Linked DNA regions of Callithrix jacchus. The protein of the gene in region 4 interacts with the protein of the main gene of each other region in a pairwise test. Links are inferred from orthologs where the notes say so. Each region holds a gene or a part of one and is shown on either strand. Other genes may lie near its edges.

What was found. The genes of interacting proteins can lie anywhere in the genome.
Region 1: the proteins of ATXN1 (region 4) and STAC2 interact in binary tests that used the Homo sapiens proteins (3 or more experiments, as listed by UniProt). The link is inferred for Callithrix jacchus from reciprocal best matches to the Homo sapiens genes ATXN1 and STAC2.
Region 2: the proteins of ATXN1 (region 4) and GCA interact in binary tests that used the Homo sapiens proteins (3 or more experiments, as listed by UniProt). The link is inferred for Callithrix jacchus from reciprocal best matches to the Homo sapiens genes ATXN1 and GCA.
Region 3: the proteins of ATXN1 (region 4) and SYBU interact in binary tests that used the Homo sapiens proteins (3 or more experiments, as listed by UniProt). The link is inferred for Callithrix jacchus from reciprocal best matches to the Homo sapiens genes ATXN1 and SYBU.

The regions. Positions count from the first base shown.
Region 1 is NC_133506.1:119,710,375-119,715,168, reverse strand, and holds the start of STAC2 (SH3 and cysteine-rich domain-containing protein 2), read left to right. Parts: upstream 1-1,854; 5' UTR 1,855-2,139; coding exon 2,140-2,229; intron 2,230-4,794. UniProt on the Homo sapiens protein: Plays a redundant role in promoting the expression of calcium channel CACNA1S at the cell membrane, and thereby contributes to increased channel activity. Slows down the inactivation rate of the calcium channel CACNA1C.
Region 2 is NC_133507.1:67,350,263-67,354,939, forward strand, and holds the start of GCA (grancalcin), read right to left. Parts: upstream 2,941-4,677; 5' UTR 2,792-2,940; coding exon 2,765-2,791; intron 1-2,764. UniProt on the Homo sapiens protein: Calcium-binding protein that may play a role in the adhesion of neutrophils to fibronectin. May play a role in the formation of focal adhesions.
Region 3 is NC_133517.1:87,409,685-87,414,474, forward strand, and holds the start of SYBU (syntabulin), read left to right. Parts: upstream 1-1,850; 5' UTR 1,851-1,979; intron 1,980-2,990; 5' UTR 2,991-3,093; coding exon 3,094-3,138; intron 3,139-4,562; coding exon 4,563-4,673; intron 4,674-4,790. UniProt on the Homo sapiens protein: Part of a kinesin motor-adapter complex that is critical for the anterograde axonal transport of active zone components and contributes to activity-dependent presynaptic assembly during neuronal development.
Region 4 is NC_133505.1:13,913,644-13,918,289, reverse strand, and holds the start of ATXN1 (ataxin-1), read right to left. Parts: upstream 3,253-4,646; 5' UTR 3,072-3,252; intron 2,644-3,071; coding exon of another isoform or gene 1,830-2,643; intron 1-1,829. Other genes in the region: uncharacterized protein LOC128931873, read right to left, coding at 1,830-2,643. UniProt on the Homo sapiens protein: Chromatin-binding factor that repress Notch signaling in the absence of Notch intracellular domain by acting as a CBF1 corepressor. Binds to the HEY promoter and might assist, along with NCOR2, RBPJ-mediated repression. Binds RNA in vitro.

The DNA.
Region 1 (4,794 bases), on a different chromosome or scaffold from region 4:
TGGACACGGTAACCTGAGCAGGGCTTCAATGGTGAGCTCATGCTTGGGAGGGTAGAGATACTATGAATGGCTGTGTGCATGGGGTTGGAGGGGGGAGCGTGGGGAGGTGTTCACTCCACCCCTCGCCCTCCAGGCTAGCATAAGGGCCTCCCTCAGCACCCCAGGCCCCCCATGTGCCACCCCCCCACAACCTTACCACCTACAGCAGAGGAGGAGGGAGACTTAAACCCAGAAGTCCCTCCACTCACACGAGGAGAGAAGTCAGATCTGCTGGTCAGAGCCAGAAGGGGCAGAAGGAAAGGGGGACCTGGGAAAATGGGTCCCAGATAATCAACATACATTAGAAGAAGCATCTTGGCCAGTGTGGTGGCTCACACCTGTAATCCCAGCACTTTGGGAGGCTGAAGCAGGAGGATCACTTAAGCCTAGGGGTTTAAGACCAGCCTGGGCAACATAAACTCCATCTCTACAAAAAATTTAAAAATTAGCCGGGTGAAGTGGCATGTGCCTGTGGTCCCAGTTGTTTGGGAGAGTTGAGCCCAGGAGGTCCAGGCTGAAGTGAGCTGTGATCAGGCCACTGCACTACAGCCTGGGCAATAGAGCAAGACCCTGTCAAAAAAAAAAAAAAAAAGGAAAAAGAGAAGGAGGAGGAGAAGAAGAAATATCTTGACTGGGCACAGTGGCTCACGCTTGTAATCCCAACAAGCTGGGAGGCCAAAGTGGGAGGATCGCTTGAGCCCACGAGTTGGAGATCATCCTGTGTAACATAGCAAGACTCCATCTCTACCAAAAAATTTTAAAAATTAGCCAGGCATGGTGGTGTATGACTGTGGTCCCAGCAATTAGAGAGGCTGAGGTAGGAGGATCGCTTGAGCCCAGGAGCCTGAGACTGCAGTGAGTTATGATCACACCACTCCAGCCTGGGTGAAAGAGTGAGACCCTGTTTCTAAATAAAAAGTAAAAAATAAATAGAAGGTTATTGTCAGACCAGGTGGAGGGAGGGGCACCTTGGAGGGTGAGGACCTCTTCCCCCACCTCTCGGTATTATCCCCTGATCTAACTCCAGCTGTGGTAGGATCTTCAGGAGGGGAGCGTGTTGTAGTGAAGTTTGGGGACTTTGGGTGTGAGGACTGAGGCCCCATCTCTGCTGAAGTTCAGACACCAAGCCCGGAAAGGGGTAGAATCATCCTGCTTTCCATCACAAGGAGGAATTGTCTGGCCTGACTTTGACGCATACACCATAGTCCAGGTGTGTGTATATTTGGAGAGAGTCTTTTCAGGGCATAGAGGCATCCAATTTTTTTAATGGCACAGATGGGTCCCCATTCTTCCTTCACCAACCTCTGACATCTTTCGATCTTCGCTCTCCAGGAAGTCCTAACTTCGATCTCACTCTCAGCTATCTTGCTGCAGCCCCAACCTATTTCTGTTCACTGCAACCCATCCAGACGCTACTATGATCTCCCCAAGCTTCCCTCAATCTGGTCACGCCCCCCGCATCCCGGGTTTTTCAGTGTGAAACTCCCTCCTTCGCTTCTTTCACCGCCAAGCCCCGCCCCATCGTGTCGAGCCCCCCAAGATTCAGCCTAGCTCGCCCTCCTGGCCACAGCGGCAGCCAATAGCTGAGAGCCCGATTTGCATGGCGGCGAGGGGGAGCGGCGGAGGGCAGGGGGCGGGACCAGGCGACCTCCTAAATCAAAGTTGGGCAGCGAGGACTGGGCGGAGGGGCCACCGGGTGCCGGGCTGGGGCCGGCGGGGGAGGGGAGGGAATGGGGGGCGGGCGCAGAGGACGGCGGAACCGGCCGGACACGGACAGCTCCGTGGCTCCCTCCCTCGGCTCATCCCCGCGGTCCCACTTTCCTCCTCCCTGCGCTCCGAGCAGCATCCTCTGCAGACCCTCGGTCCTCTCGCCCGGGGTGGTCCCGCTCCCGCGGCTCGGCGTGGTCGCCTCCCCTCGCCCGCCACCCCGGCAACTTTCTCCGCCCGCGCCCGCGGGTGGGGGGCTGCCGTGCCGGAGGCCAACTGGGGGCAGCCTCTGGAGAAGGGCTTCAGAGTCCCGGAGACGCCCGCCACCCGCAGCCTGCCCGCGGCCGGCCTGCCGTCGGGTCTCCGCACCTTCTCCGACCCTCCTCCCGAACCATGACCGAGATGAGCGAGAAGGAGAACGAACCGGATGACGCGGCCACCCACAGCCCCCCAGGGACCGTCTCCGCCCTCCAGGAAACCAAGGTAACTTGGGGGGCGCGAGGCCTGTCCCCGCCCCGTGTGTCCCTGGCCCAGGCGCCCTCTTCCCGGCGGGGTCCTCCTGTGGGCCCGGTCGTCCTGGGGTCGCGGTCGCGGGGCCCGCGTGACCACTGAGGCTCCGCGCCACGCTCGGGGGGAGGAGTGGATTGGCGACGAGGGGCCACGAGGAGCCCCAGATCACACCAGCACCGCACGGCCGCGCGCGCCATCGCTACCCTCCGGGGAGGCGGCAACCGGGCTTCGTTGGAGGGATGGGCGCAGGGAGGCCGGAGGGCGCGTGTGGAGCGGCGCGGGCGGGGTGCGTGCCCGGCTGTGCGAGCGAGGCGCACCCTCCCACGGCCGCCGGGTCCCCGTGCCGGGCTCAGTCTGCCCCTCTGCCCTCGCTCGTGTCTCTGAATGTGTCTCTACAACCTGCGTGTCTGTGTCTTGGCGTCTCTCTGTGTGCGTCTCTCCGCGTCTCTCCCCGCGTCTCTGGGTGTTTATCTCCGCGTCTCTGGGTGTCTCTCCCTGCCCCTCCGCAGTCCTGCATTCCCCGCTCCCAGCGGGGTTGGGCTCGGGGACGCGAGGCCGCGGCCGGGGGTGCGCAGCTGCGGAGTCCGCGCGGGGGCCTGCGGCAGCGCGGGCCGTCGGTAGCGGGCGGGGACCCGGGCCTGCGGTTGTGGCTCCAGACCAGAAAGGCAGCCCCACCCCCTACCCCGGGAGCGGGACCAAGCGGTGGGGCGCCGGGGGAGCGGGTAGAAGCGAAAAGAGAAGTCATCGTAATTAATGAATGTCATCATTAACCCTAATTATGGATGATTGTTACTCCTGCGGGAGTCACCATGAATAAATTACTCCCCGCGAAGGCGGGCGGAGCCCAGACTCCTGGCCCTGAACGGGGTGTGGAGAGACCGCCGCTCACACTCAGCACCCCCCTCTTCTAATCCGTCTGCTCCGTTCCCAAGTTCTAGGTTCTGGCGACTGGCCCGCGAGAAGTTTTGTTCTGCGGGAGCAACCTGAGCGGGCCGGGGGATGGGGCGGAAAGGGCTGTGCCAAGGGTGCGCCCTGCCCCCTCCCAGACTTCAGGCCAAGACCTCCTCCCTCTCTCTTCCCCTGGTATTTTGTTCCCATCCTGTTCCTGTTTTCCAGTGGCGAAGGGGGACAGTGAGGACCAGAAATGGTGGGCCTGGGTTCCGGAGGAATCGCTGGCTCCCTAGGCTTCTTCCTACTGTTCCCCTTCCTCCTCCTTCCATCTTGACCACCCCATAGGAGTTGAGGTTAATTCAAGGTCAAGGTCATCAAGGGAGTGACCCTGAGGAGGATCGTGTTTACCCTGTTCCTACGGAGGAGGAGGACATAGGATCAGGGTGGAGTCTGGCAGAGGTACCCCAGGGATATTCTATTGCTTAGAATATTTGTGACAACTTCTGTCAAGCAGACGGTCTGGGAGCTGAACCTCCCCTAAGCTCCAATGCCGCTGACCCCGGTTGCCCTCTAGTCACCCTGGGTAGACATACACAGTCCCCCTGCTTGCCTCCAGGGGCTTGGGGCCTCCCAGGCTCTGCCCGGCTTTCCATACAAAGGCCTGTTCACTCCAGCCCCCTCCCTGGGAGCTCTGGAAGGCGGGCAGGAGCGCGGGGTGGTGCTGCCTCAGCACTCCAGCAGGCTGCCTGCTCAGCTGTGTGTTGGGGAAGGTGAGGGCCTGCAGGTCTGTGCCTCTCCCTCCTCCCAGCCCAGGGACCCTCCAGTGTTGTCACCTCTGGGTCTGAGCTTGGAGATTCAAGGGGTGGGGAGGGCAGAGATTACATACATGAGCCAGCATCACTGATGAGCACTGGCCCCCTCTGTTGTACCTGCCTCACACTGAGCTGGGTGGGCAGCACCCAACCACACTCTCTTCCATCTCCCCACCCACACAGTCTGGAGACAGGAGCTTCTTTGAGCCAGGGTGAGGCCTAGCCCTCTGTGCTAGGTCAGCTGAAGCCCTGGCCCTCCGGCCCTCTCCTACACTTCACTCTTTTGAAGGACTCTGCACTAACACAGACTAGGCTGTGGGTTGGGTTGGGGGTATTCAGCAGGGCAGAGGTGGCAGAGAGAGAATCCAGGACCCCTGCTAGCCTCCTTCCATCCCACACTTCACCCTGGCTCAAAGAATCTCCTGTCTCCAGACTGTGTAGGTGGGGGAGATGGAAGAGAGTGTGTTTGGGTGCTGCCCACCCAGCTCAGTGTGAGGCAGGTACAACAGAGGGGGCCAGTGCACATCAGGTAGTGACGCCAACATTCCAGGCTTATTTATCAGTGTTGGTGCCCCCTGGGAATCACTGGCTGCCTCCTGCTTGCCCCCAGGCAGGATCAGCCCTGCATCTGAGCCACTCAGCAACCCTCCTAGGGAGTCCTCCTCCTCTCTTGGTCTCCATCCCTTCTTACCACATAGGGCCTGCCCATCACCCCCTTTGTTGCCACCCTTGGAAGGACCCCCTCGTGCCAGCTCTGCTCTGAGTCAGCTTGCGCCACATCCACCACCACCCACTGCCAGATGCCTCGTGCCCTTTCAGGAGATGCTGTGGGGAT
Region 2 (4,677 bases), on a different chromosome or scaffold from region 4:
GTAGATCACATAATCTATAACTTCAGAGAATCCCACGTATATAAACTGGAATAAATCACAATAAGCTGAAAAGAAACAAGTGAGAGGCCAGCATACAAAACTCTATCTCATCCCTCAGGATACTATCAGAACCACGGCAGTTTCTTTAAACATTTTGCTTCCCTCCCCTTAAAAGATTTTTGAAAAACTATATACCCTTTTCCCATATTTTAAATTGACATATAAAGTTTTTAAGTTTAAATAGTTGTAAAGAATACGATGAGCAACATATTGTAAATCTTGACATTTACAAAATTTTACATCACTCTTTGGAAAGTACACACTTTTATCTGTATATATATGCACACTATTATAGTGTATATTACTATATATAATATTGTGTATTTTATAGTGTGTATACTATAGTATGTATTATACATAATATGTATATACAGACTATTAGTGTGTATTACTATATAGTACTTAACGTATTGCTTAATATATTATTCATAAGCAACTTAGTGTGTATATTACTATATAATAGTGTATAAATATAAACAGTATGTATTACTACATAATAGTGTATATATAAGCATATATATAATAGTGTATATATGTGTATATATGTATAATAGTGTATATATAATAGTGTAAAATAGTACAATACACATACACAGTATCATATATAGTAATACACACTATAATAGAGTATACACACACACACACACACACAGTGTCATCTACACACTTTGATAGTCTGGTACTTGCTCCTTCCATTTTCAAACAGACCTAAAGAGGCTATTATATAAAATGTACAAGTTTTATGTTTTCTTTTACTTTTTGAATTAATTTTTTTTATTTCTTGTGTGAAAATCTAATCTATGTAAGTTTTTGTGCTTAAATTGTGCTTTTATTATTGAAAACTCTGAAGCCTGTATAATACAACATGTACAATAAAAACATGTAACAAAGTTTTAGATTTCGTTTCATTTCCTATGACCAAAATAAGAAATGAAAAAGAAAAAAAGTCCTTTATAATTGAGTTATAATTTTTAATAGTATACAATTAGTAAAAAAAATGCAATTTTGATAAACAATACTTAAAAGAAGAAAGTAAATATCTATTGGAAATGCCTACAGAGATGAATCATGCACTTAATTAGATAAAAGTATACCATCAAAACAATTAGGTCCAGTAGTTAACAATTTACATTTTGTTAAAAGAATATAAGAAACATTAATAAGGTATAGGTTGCCTTTATTTAACATGATTTATAAAAGTCTCAACTCTCTTATTAATATACTCCTATTAAAGAAATTGTGTTTTATCCCAAAATTTTATCCAATGTATCTTAAAATATTTCAATTACTTTTTTAAAAAATCAGTGCCTCTAATCTATATTGCTTCTCTTTCCAACTATTAATATGAGCATAACAGCCAAAAATATCTGTTTATTTCAAATACATGGAAAAGGGAATTTAAATGCTCAAAACACATACAGATTTTTTTTTAATTATGTCGTGGAACTCTCCATCAAGTTCAGGAACTCCGACAAAAGTTGAATAAGGAAGCAGCAAATTATTTGAATGAAAATATATTACTCTTGCCACATCACTTTATCATATATATATGAATTCAGAGCATACCAACAAATGTAAATATATCACACTTCTAACAGATAGCTTCAACCAAATGAAAATAACTATAGGGACATTTTTAAAGCCCTACAGGTTTATGCTATCTTGACTAATCTTTGAAGGAGGCTTTACATTCCTTAGGCACTTTAAACTTCCTTACTAAATTTAAGGAATGAGGAGGGGTAGGCGTTACAAAGTGGAAGGTGCCAGAGGGAATTGAGGTAAGTCTGAGTTTCAAGCAAATCAATTTAAGGAACGAATATGTGTGAAAGTTAAGGACCTGGAAATTCATACCCTAAAACAACAACAAAAACCATGAACTCCCAAGGGTAGGAGTAACTCTTTTGAAGACCACAACCATAGCCCAAAGTCAAGTCCTATGTTAAAATCAGTAAACACAATTTCTGTTTTCAGGTTAAAAAACAAATATAATAAAAATAGAAAATATATTCTACCCACACCGCAGTGGATCAAACTAATGTTAACTTTGTTAACATAGCTGGCTCACCGCATTTTGGAGACAACGGACATCAATACTAACGGTTTGAGTTCCTTTCTGAAAATAAGGGGGTAGCTACCAGGACACTAGGATTACAACTTGCAACTCCCAAAGGTGATGTAGAATAAAAGTTGTAAGAAAGAGCAACGTGCCCCCGCCTGGGGTCGAGGGAGAAAGTCTAAACAGATTGCCATTCGAATAACAGTAAAGACTAGGAGTCATTTACCATACACCTTAATTTATTCATAAGGAACTTAAAGAACAAGAAGTGGTTAAGAAATTCAGAAAGAGGATCTCTAGCAACATTGAGTGGGGGGCGGGGGACTGATGTACCACCGATTATTACTGGAACAAAAAGAGGGCGGCTTGTTCCTACATTCCAGGAAATAAATTTCCAAACACACGTTACTCCCTCGGCTCCACCAGGATGCTCCTCGAGGGACCTCAAGAACGCCTGAGCTCCAAGTCATCCCAGGGTCAACGCTCGCCCCGACCCTGGTTCCCAACATCCCCTGAGTACGGGCATTGCTGAATACCAGGCACGGACGCCGCGAGCAGGAGCCACGGGCGGACCCGCACGCTGGCACCGCCTCCGGGGACGCCACATCCCGCGAGGGAGAGAGACACGACCAAGCGGCTGGGACTCACCTCTCCTCCGTATCCCGGGTAGGCCATGACGAGCAGCGAGCGTCACACTCCGAGTCAGCGACGCTGTCTGTGCAGGGAGAAAAGCAAAGGTGAAGGTGCAGGGAGGGGCAGCTACAGGTGAGGCTGAAAGACGCACTAACTGCACAGTTCACTCCTCCGAACCCGCCCCCTTCCGCAGTCCAGCCCCACCCCCGCCCGGTTCCGATTGGCTGAGTCCCGCACTTTGGAGCCAACTCTGCTGTAGTCCGCCCCTTCCCTCAGCCTAGCCTCACCCATCTCTACCCTGATTGGCTACTCCCGTCGGGAGCCCAGCCAGTCCCTGCTTATTGGCTCGCTCAGGTTCTCAGGCGCTCTACTTCTAACTTGCTAAGAAGCCTTTTGTTAACTTCCCACTCTCTTTGGAAAGGTCTCCAAGCCTTCAACTCCCCAAGTTACTTTTCTTTCTGGAAACCCCAAACCGGCAGGTCTGTGACTTATTTTAACTTATTCCTCCACTCTTTTGAGCTGGACTTCAAAGACCCATCTGTAAATTTCAAAATTTGCAGTTACATTTACTTTTGTATAGTGTTGATGTCACGTCAAAACTTTGCAACCAGTACCACACCTGTGCTCTAAGAGGAGTGCTTCTGTGCCAAAACCCACTTGAGGCCACATTATACGAACAAGTTATTGATTTTGTTTGGTAGATAAATGGTCACCTGAATTGTGAGATTTGGCAAATTAAAAAAAAAATACAGGATATATAGTTAAATTTGATTTCCAATTAATTTTTTTTAGTGTGTGTCCCAAATATTGCACTGGACATGAATATATACTAAAAAGTTATTTGCTGTTTATACACTGATAATATAGAAGGTGTCTGGCACATAATCTCAATCAACCTTTGGGCAAACTCTTGTTAAATGTTCAATTACTTTGGCTTATTAAGTAATAGCAATGGACAAATCTGATTTGTCTCTGGAACTCAAATGAATTTTGTAGCTCTGACTTAAAAAGGACAGGGAAGCTGTAGAAATAAAACCAAATAAAAAGATCAAATGATATTATTTTGAGTTATCTCTGAAGAACAAGAGAAGGGCTAACATGTTTCTTAAAAATAAGGCTGTCAAAAAAAAAGTGTTAACTATTTGCAAAGGAAATCAGCCTTGCAGAGCTGAGTATCTATTTGAAAAATAGAAAATGGCCTTATTGGTGCAACTGCATTTGTGTAGTTGGGAGTTAAGTCCCCATGGGTTTCTTGCCTTTCTCCACATTTAATTTCAAATATAGTATTTCCTGCTGGGGCAAAGTTTGGGTAGGTTTGCTATGCTACAGAGGAGGATGTTAGACCTTGTGAAACAATTCTCAGAGGAAAAGGCGGAGAGAAAGGAAGATTGCTGATGTGGAAGCCACTCTTGGGAAAGTGTAAGTTTCTTCAATTTTGTAAGAAATACTTAAGCCACTAAGGTTAAATTATTGGCATAAATATATAGATGGGAAGAGTAAAACCTACTTGATAAGAGGGGAAAATGGCATGGCTTATGAAGGTATCAAGTGACAAAGCACAAGAAAGAACAAAGCATTGCAAAATTTTATTCCAAATGATTACATATTCAAAGAAATGCTTAGAAAGGATTGAGTGTTTGCATTTACAATATTAGTCTAGCTATGGTCAAAATTTTTGTGCATCTCCTTTTGATGAAAATAGCCTTATTGATGCAACTGCATTTGTGTAGTTGGGATTTAAGTCCCCATGGGTTTCTTGCCTTTCTGCACATTTAATTTCAAAGATAGTATTTCCTGCCAGGGCAAAGTTTGGGTAGGTTTGCTAGCAGCCTTCTTAGGACTTTCCTAAGCATGGAGTTCTTCCAGTTGGATAACAAACCCAAAACATGTACAGCACCCATGTAGCAGCTTCTCTTCGCTCTGTGGAA
Region 3 (4,790 bases), on a different chromosome or scaffold from region 4:
GGAGTACACAGCAAGGACTAGCTTTACTCACAAGGTCACAAGATTGCAGGTATAAAGGAAAGTCGTTCACAGGAATAAACTAGGAAGTGTGAATAAAGCAGCAATCAAAAGTATCCCCAGCTCTGCAACTGCACAAGTGACCCCCACACCAGCAGCCCAACCATCCCCTGCTGCTGCTGCCATCATAGTATCTGGTTGGCCTCTGGGGGCGCTCGGCCTCATTCGGCAATAGTGCTTTTGTTCTTTGGGAAGAGAAGCTCAAAATCTTCCTCTTTTGCTCCTGCTCTCAGTTTTTCAGCAGAAATAAAGACAAAGTTAATTTTTAAGATGTATACTAGAAAGTGGAAGCCAAAAGCAAAAATTATGTAAATAAATTATATTATGGAGAGCATGCTATTTTTAATGTAATTCAAATCTAGCCATAGATCTGCTTTCTGGGAACCTAGATATCAACTTATTTTCTAAGCCTAGACTGCTATGGATGCCGAGTGAACCCCTCACAGCCTCCAGCCTGCATATCTGCTCTGTGCTTGCATGTCTGAGAAGCATCCTCTCTCTATAGCTGCCCTGCTGGGTTCAGGCAGCTTTCAGCTGCCTTTCTCACATCTTCTGGTTTCTTGGAGAACGAAAGTGTTTCTCTATTACCCTAGAATTTAACTATTGGATTTAGGCTTTCCTTTTCATGTCTTACAGATTAACGACCTTTGTCTTTTCTGTACATCTGTGAGACAAACAGATTGTCCAAACTTAGGAAGCATTTCACTAGATAAATGTCAAGTCTCAGTTTCCCCTACTTAAATGGCAATCTTTACACTCATACTTTCTAGAGCCTCTTAATTTCAATCATTCTGATTCCTTGTCTCAATAAGTATATACCTACTTGTCTAACCATGTGTCCCCATTTTGTTTAATGCAATCACCGTGCCTGTGTTTTTGATGAGTATCCTACCCTATTTTCAAAGATGAACCAAATGCCACAAACGAAAAGCTATTTTGGGGGAAGATGATCTCAGATCTGCTCCGCCATAAGGCAAGCAGAGGATTAGACCATCCTTCAAGGCTCCAAGCTCCCAACCTCTGCCTCTTCCTCTGGACTTGCCCTTAATTTCTGTTTTTCACTGAGAGAACACTCTGAGCACTCATTTGTCGGGCAGAGATAATTGACACACTCTGAGCTCAGTGAATGTTCAAGCATGCCCTGCCTCAGGTTACCCACTGCCCTCCCTGCCCCAAGCACCCTCTGGGCCCCCTCCTGGGGAAGTGATCTTGTGCAATTCTAGTCATTTCAGTTTTACAACATCAAAGTACCTCAACCATATAGTAACAATAACACACATATATTAAGAGGAGGGTGAGGAGGGTTGGGCCTGGCGTGGTGATTTACGCCTGTAATCCCCGCACTATGGGAGGCTGAGGCAGGCAGATCACGAGGTCAGGAGACCAAGACCATCCTGGCCAACACAGTGAAGCCCCTGTCTTTACAAAACATATAAAAATTAGCCAGGTGTGGTGGTGCCCGCCTGTAGTCTCAGCTACTTGGGAGGCTGAGGCAGGAGAATTGCTTGAACCCAGGATGCGGAGGTTGCAGTGAACTGAGATCACACCACTGCACTCCAGCCTGGCGACAGCAAGACTCCAAGACTCCATCACAAGAAAAAAAGAAAAAAAAAAAAAAAGAGGAGGATTGATCATGCACAAATGCTCTTACAGGAAAACAGACAGCTCTCTCCCTGGTAAGAAAAATATGGGTCTCCACCCCACCCCACACCAGACACACAAAAATCCCAGGATGCCCCAGAATGCAGTTTCTTTCCTTCGTGACGTCTTGTGCAGCACGTCAGCTGCTCCTTGTTGCTGTGCAGATACCCAACATTGGGTCACCGAGAGAGACGGCAGTGCTTGCTCACACAGCTGATAGGATTAGGAGATGGTGCTTTGTCAGCCCTGATTGAGCCCAAGGAAGCCCCCAGCAAACACAGGTGAGATGCGAGGAAGAGTGGATGTGAGGGACCGTGGTGTGTCTTGGTTGTTTGCTGCAGGCGTTTTCTTTTCGGCAGTGCATTTGTATTGTCTTCTCTGTGAAGTTTGCAGTCTGGGGGATTCCTATTAATAAAAATCTGTGCTTTTTCACTTATCTGGTCTCAGAGATTGGCCACATGTACCTCACAGGATTTTCGTGAGGCTCAAATAAGATTATATATGTGAAAGAGTTCTGAAAATATAAAGTTGTGTGCACAGGAAAGGGAGGAGTGACTTAATTACAAACTTCACATAAACAGTCAATAACTTACCCCAAATTTGGGGGAATAATTATATAAAGACATTATCTTTCTTCCCAGTCTACAGTACCCTATCTCTCCTGTGCCTTGCCGGGCTTGGACAGGTATTGTTTATAATCTTTAAAGGTTTAATTCTAAAGTAAGTAATATTTTCTAACAGCCAGAAATACATTAATTTTTAAAGAAGCTACAAGATGATAAGATCATAAAATAAGTCTTTAAGTAGAAAATGAAAATGCACAAGAATGTTTTGAAGCAGAGGAAAGAAGACCATATTATGCTGTATTACATTATATCTCTTTGATGGCATAATCCAAATGTTACATTTCTTCTAATGACATAAGAAACACTTGAATGAAATTAAGACAGCATAGATATTATCATTGGTAAAACTTGCCTTTTAGAACAGTGGAAAAACAGGCTTGGGTTCCAAAAGTACAGCGCTAAGAAGCATCTGAACACTAAATCATCAGCCTTTCCCTCTGCGAGGTTGCTATGGCGACAGCAAGGTTACTGCACAGCCTCTCAGTGCTTGCACTTCTGCAGTAAAAGCTGTCACTGAACACATGTTGGATTTTTTAGGCATACACCCAATTATCAGATACAAATACATTGTGGAGGCAGCTTTATTTGAATCATTTTCAAAGCAAATTGTATCTGCGTTCTTTATCCTGCACTGATGGACCCCTTATGGTGTTATGGAATTCACAGGTTCATGCATTAACTCATTTGACAGCTACGTATTGAGTGTCTACCATATAAGAGGAATTGTACTAGGCACTGCCTACAAGCTTCGGTGAAAACAAACAAGTAAATGGGGAATTCTGAGGAGATCACAACAGCTCTCCTGGGGGTAAAAGTAAGTGTCCTGGAATCATCAGGGGAGGTTTCCTGGAAGAAGCTGTCTAAAATGAAACTTAATGTATCTTTAAGAGTTGAGGAGGACAGGGGGATATAGTGCAAGAAATGTTCCAGACAGAGGAAATAGCAGGTGCAGCAGTCGAGGAAAAAGAGAATGCAAAACCTCCTCCTCTGAGAAATGCAAATGCTACAGTTGGAGCAGTATCCATTTGTATGCAGGGGAAGAGTGGTAGGGGCCAAAGAGGCAGGTTAGGAAGGGAAGAGAGTATCTATAAAAAGAGAGAAGTGGCAAGAAACAAGACTGGAGAGATAAACAAGGTGGCCAGATCAGGAAAGCCTTGTGTGCCACATTAAAGAGTTTCAATATTACCTGGAAGACAATCAGGAAACCACTAATGAGTTTTCATGGGGAAGCATGACTTGATTTAGCTTTTCATAAAGGTTTGTGGAAAAATGGAAACACTGGATAGAAAGGAATAAGAGGCAAGACTGAAAGCAAGAGACCTTGAGTTAGACCACTATTGCAATAAGGGTGGCTGTGGTTTAGACTCTACATGAAGATAATGGAGATAAATAGTGGACAGAAGGAATTAGATTCAAGACGGTCATTACTTGGGTAGCATGGAAATCACTTGGTGTTTATGCTATGTGTGGGTCAGGTGAGTAAGAGAAAGACACTTGGCTAGCTCAGTGAGGGTGTCTCTGCTATTAGGTCCCCAGTCTCAATTCTCAGTTCCAAGTAGGGAACTCAGAGGAATCTATTGACTTTCCAACTTGTTCTTATCTCACAGTATATGATCCCAGACTCAAAATTCCTGGACCTGCACTTTCCTGAGGTCCATATTTGAGACAGCCATGGGTGTTGAAAGCATGAATTAATCACCTCTTCTTTCCAAATAAAGAATCCTAAAATTATCAACCTCACTGCTTGAGACAGCTAAGTAGATTGAAAAGGCATGAAGATTTATGGAGGATGATCTCTTTTGGAGTTGAAGAAAGAAGGGAAATTGATTCCACTAATCCTCTGGCTTCAGGCTCTCTCTAGACTCACAACATACATTCTTAGACTTGAGAGTTGAGGACTCAGAGAAAAGCTGTTTAGAGGATGGATAAAAGGGGACAGTAACCCTCGATTTTCAAGAAGCACAGTCCTCCCATATAGGACGCCGGTGCATAAGGATCAGAGTATTGGCCTGCCACATTGATGCTTGAAATATTCCCCAATTCTGAATAAAGGGTGTATAAGTCATTATACATGTTGAATTCCATCACCAGATAAGATTTAAGGGTAGCAAGTGTAATAAATCAAGGCTCTTGGCCAGAGATGTACCCTATTCTAAGTCTGCTGTTGGACAGATTTTCAACCTTTCTTCAACAAATCTGTGTGCATCACAAATGCTTTTTATGCCTGTCATGTAAAAGGCATCGGCAAATATTGACCGGATCACCTGGACCAACTTAGCCGCCCTTTGGAAAATTCTGCTCTATCGGCTGTTTTGTTTTCCTCATCTAACCGTCACAGCTATCCTAGAGGTAGGTATCACTATTATCATCCCTCAATTTCACAAGGGTAAACTTGCAGTTCAGAAGAGTCAAGAACCGTAGGCGTAGGCCAGGCAGGCAAAGCCACCTGCATGTAATTCCGGCACT
Region 4 (4,646 bases):
CCAGCCATTGCTATGGGCAATATAGGTTCCAAAGGATGAACGCTCTTCACACTTGAAAGGGTTAAGTGCCTGCATGGCCAAAGGCACCAGACTGCAAAAGAAATGTTGCTTTAGTAAGCTCTGAAAGGTTTCTAACAAGTACCAAATACTTGTTGATCTGCTCACAATAAACACCAGCAGGATTGTCAGGCTCCTTTCACTGTATGGGGAGACGCATTTACATACTGCACCTAGGAAGAACAGCTTGTTGGTCTCCTTTATAAAAGTTGAGTAGCTAGAAGCCTCCTTCAGTGTCTCCCATCCAAATGACTGAAAGAAGATGCAATTGAAATAGTGGAGTCTTTCGTCTAGCTTGGGCAGCATAAATGCTGTGCATAAAACATTTGGAGTAGTTCAGGCACAAGACAAACCCACCTGAATGGACGAGGAACACTGTCTGTTGCCATGGCAGCCTGATCTAATTACATGAGTGATCAGGGCTGGAGTAAGTGCACTGAAAACCTACACCACTGACAGCCAGCCAGGAGGTTCAAGGGAGCCCTTCAACCTCTGCTTTATGTAGAAGATGGCATTCAAGTCCATTTATTTGCAGAGCTGCTAAAATATTGACTGATGCATGCACAGCGAGAGGGCAATCAGAGGAGATTAAGTGCCACAGCATTAGCCGTTATGGTGCAATCCCTTTCCAAGAGTTCCTGTGCAGGATTTTCTCTTCTCTCTGGTGGTTTCCTCAGGCATAAGCTTCATTCCAAAAAAAAAAAAAAAGCCTAAGTATCAAACTACCTTTACCCACCAAATAAACCGAAGGGTGGGCTTAACGGGGGCTTCTAGGAACTGCAGCCTCCTAAAAAACCCAAACGGAAATGTCTTAGCTAACACTGTTGAAAAAGTAGCTATGCCTAAAAATAACCACCAAGTAACTACCCACTGCTGTGTGCAATATATAACGACAATGTTTAAATATTAAAAACAGCCTGCATTATAAAACGCAAATGTCATTGAGATGTGCACTACTAGATTGCCAAAGGAGAACTTATTTGCATACACACATTCCTGTGCATGCACGAATGTGCAGGCAGAAAGCCACTGTAAGGCACCAGTTTTTATTCTGTGGGTGTAATAGGGTCTTCTAATTTTGCTAATTGTATCCTGTGGATCTCACAGGGAAGCTCAGAATCTCTTCGGGGACAGAACCAGTTTGGAGGAGTCCCTACTGCACAGCATACGGTAAACAAAATAAAAATAGCTTGCCTTTCTTGTTAGCCACATCGCGCATTATATAACCAGCTTCTTCCGACTGGCTTTTTTTTTTTTTTTTTTTTTTTTTTTTTTTTGCCCTTACTACTCTTCAGCAATTTCCCAATCTTCTCAAGTATTTACATTACCTTTTTATCTGTAGGATAATACCAAGAAAGCAAAACAAAACAGACCAGCCACCGGCTCGAACCGAACCCCTGCCGTCCTTAGAAACTGATCTTTTTGTTTTGTTTTGTTTTCTGGCAGAGTCTGGATCACCACCCTACTTCCACCCCCCGCTAAGGTTCTTGCTCAATCTCCCTAGAAAACCTGAATTGTTTCACCGCTTCCAGTCAGCCCCCTACGTGGTTTGAAATAAAATGAAAGCACAGCCTCGGAGTTCAAGAAGGCAGCCTGAAGGCGGGGGGCTGAGAAGGGGTCGGGCGATGCAGAGTCAGCCAAGTGGCCGAGGAGGGGCCCCCTCCGCATCACGACAGCCCTCGCCCCCCGCCCGGCGCGCACGCACACACACATATACACATTCACACTCACTCACACACTCACTCACACGCCGCGCTCCGACACCGCCTCACCTCTCGCTCCGCCCGTCCGGCCCCCTTCCCTGCCCCCTGCGGGACCGGCCTGAGCGCAGCGCTGGAACCACGTAGGAGGCGGCGGCGGCGGCGGCCCCGGCCCCGGGAGTGGCAGAGTCTTCGGCCCGGCCCAGAGTGAACGAGCAGCGGGGCTCCAGGGCGCATCCCAATCCCCGCAGCGCCTCCTCCTCCTCCTCCGCCGCCGCCTCCTCCTCCTTCCCCTCCTCCTGGCTTCATTCACCCTCCCAGCAGCCGCGCAGCCGTTCACTCCCGGCTCCGGGCAGCGCCTGCCGCGGCTCCTCGGTTCCTGCCGCGGGCGCTGGCAGGGGCGCCGGCCCGGACTGGGGCGCTCGCGGGCTCGCGGCTCCGGGCGGCGGCGGCCGCTGCACAGGATCAGGAAGCGGCCGCACCAACAGGGCGGCGGTGGCGGCGGCAGCCAGGGCCGCCACCGCCACTCCAGCCGCGCTCCAGGCACCCGCACACCCGCTACCCCCGCGGGGTCCCCGAGGCCACCCCTCCGCGCCCCCCGCCTGGCACCCGGCCGAGCGCAAAGTCCCGGCCCCTTGGCTGGAGCAGTCCCTTCCCAGCCCACAGCCGTACAGCCGGCGAGGCCGGCCACGGAGGGAAGACCCTCGCCCAGGGGCGCCGAGGCCGGGCGTCCACCCGCGGGGAAGTGCAGCCCTCCCCGAGACCCCCCCTCTCTCACCGCCCTCTCCGGAGAGGAGGAATGGGAAGAGGGCGGCCGGGAAAGGGACCAGCCCCCCACCCCGGCCGCCGCCGCCTCCCCCTGCGCCACCCGGAGGGAGGAGGACATGGCTCTCGGCACTCGCGACCGGACCAGCAGTCTCCAGAGCGGGGCGCCGCCGCCGCTCTCCCTGCCCGCGCCCCCCGCCCGGGCGCGCCCCCTAGCCCGGCGGGCGCCCACCCGGCCCCTGACAGCCCCCCCGAACGGCCGCCCCTGCGCCCAGAGTGGGGGTGTCGGCCTGGGAGCCTGGAACCGGGGACGGTTGTATGTACACACACACGCACGCACACACACACACAACACGACGCGTCGATTCCCTTCGCTCCTCTTCCAGCTGTTTTCCGTGCAGCCGATTGGGGTTTTAGGGTTTGTTTGCTGGTTGTTGCTTTTGCCCCTCTCGGGAGATAGGGAGAGGAGGGATTTTAATCTAAATAAGGGGAGAAGGGGATGGGGGAGGGGGGAAAAGAATCAGAGGAGGAAAAAAAATAGCCACTTACTGTAAAGTGTAAATGGATCTGGGGTTGCGTGGGGAAGGGGGGCAGAGGGAGAGAAACAATGTCTGGCGGCTGCTCTTGCTCTGGCTGCTGCTCCCCGGGGCTTGTTTTGGATCCCCCTGCAGTGAAACAGGTCCTGTACGGCTCCGCCACTGTAGTAGAAATGATGTCTGCGGTATACTCTGCTCTCTCCTCCTCCTCCTCCTCCTCCTCCTCCTCCTCCCCCTCCTCCCGCTTCCCTCCCCTCCCTCCTCCCTCCGCCCTCCCTCCCTCGCGCTCTCTCGCGCTCGCTCGCTCGCTCGCTCGCTCCAGTATGTAAATGTGTAATAGAAGCCAAATATGGAGCAGTTGGCTGCCGCCGCCGCAGCTCAAGGATCCGACTTCATGGGGGTGGGGGGCACCCTCTGGCGGGCGGCCCGGCGAGCAGCACCGAGCCCTGAGCGCACCGCGCGGCGGCTGGCCCGCGCCCTTAACCCTTCGCGGCGCGCGGCCCGGGGAGGCGGGCACCTTTCCCCAAGAGTGGCTCGGGACGGGCCGCGGGGGAGGGGAGGAGCGGGGTGGAGGGCAAGGTTCCTTCCAGGTTTGGGAAGGGGGCGGGGAGCTGCGCGATGAGGTAATTGGAGCGGTGACCGGTCGGTCCTCGAGCGCCTCCCTGGGTCCCTGCACCTAGTTGGAGGGGACCGAGCGACCGCGGGGCGCTGCTCAGGCAACCTGGGGGACTCCCCCAAGGGGTGTCAGGCTTCAGCTGGCAGCCAATGAAACACCCCAGGGGGGAGGGGAGGTCGGCGGGTTCTAATCCCAACGTGCCCTGGGTCCCCGGCGCCCCGAGCCGCGTCTAAAAGGGCTCCCTCCGATCATCAGCTGCACGTTATTTAACCCGCAAACCGGCGTCGCTGCGGCGTTCGGGAACCCAGGCCCGGGGGCCTCGGGGATTGCCTCTGCGTGCAACTCCGCAAAGTTTCCCGGGCCCCCCGACTGCACAGGCGCCCTCACCTTCGCTGCCTGAGAACGCCCGGCCGTGCCCTCGCTCTCTCCGCAGGTCCGGAAATCGGCTTCGATCTGGAGCTACTTACTCCGCTCTAGCCTGGAAAGGAGACCCGCGCACTCCTCTCGCAGCTAATTTGGGATCATTAATTTAATCGGAAATGAGGTAACCAGTGTAAGAGACAGAGAAAGCCACCGGAGCATCAAATGGCAGCTCTCGGGAATCGATGAAGAACTTGAGTCTGGACTCTGTGTTTTAGTGCGGTCCGCGACTCCCACCACCCCGCCCGCCCCTCCGCCTGTCCCGCCGCCAGGTGTGACCTCCACGCGAAGGAATCTTCGTCGGCTGGGCTAACATTGCCAACAGGTGTGGCACCTGGAGGACTGGGAGGTGCCTCCAGACTACGGGCGCTCAGCGTGGCGTTTTTGCTGCAGATGATTCTGGAAGGCCAGTAGGTGTCGGGCAACATTTGACCTCCTTCAGGTGCTTAGAACTAGGTGTCTGGAAACATGACCCCTTCGCGTAAGTTTCTTTCTGAAAGCCACCGCTCTTGACTGTAAGCTGTATTTGAGAGACCTTTTGGCTGAGTTTAC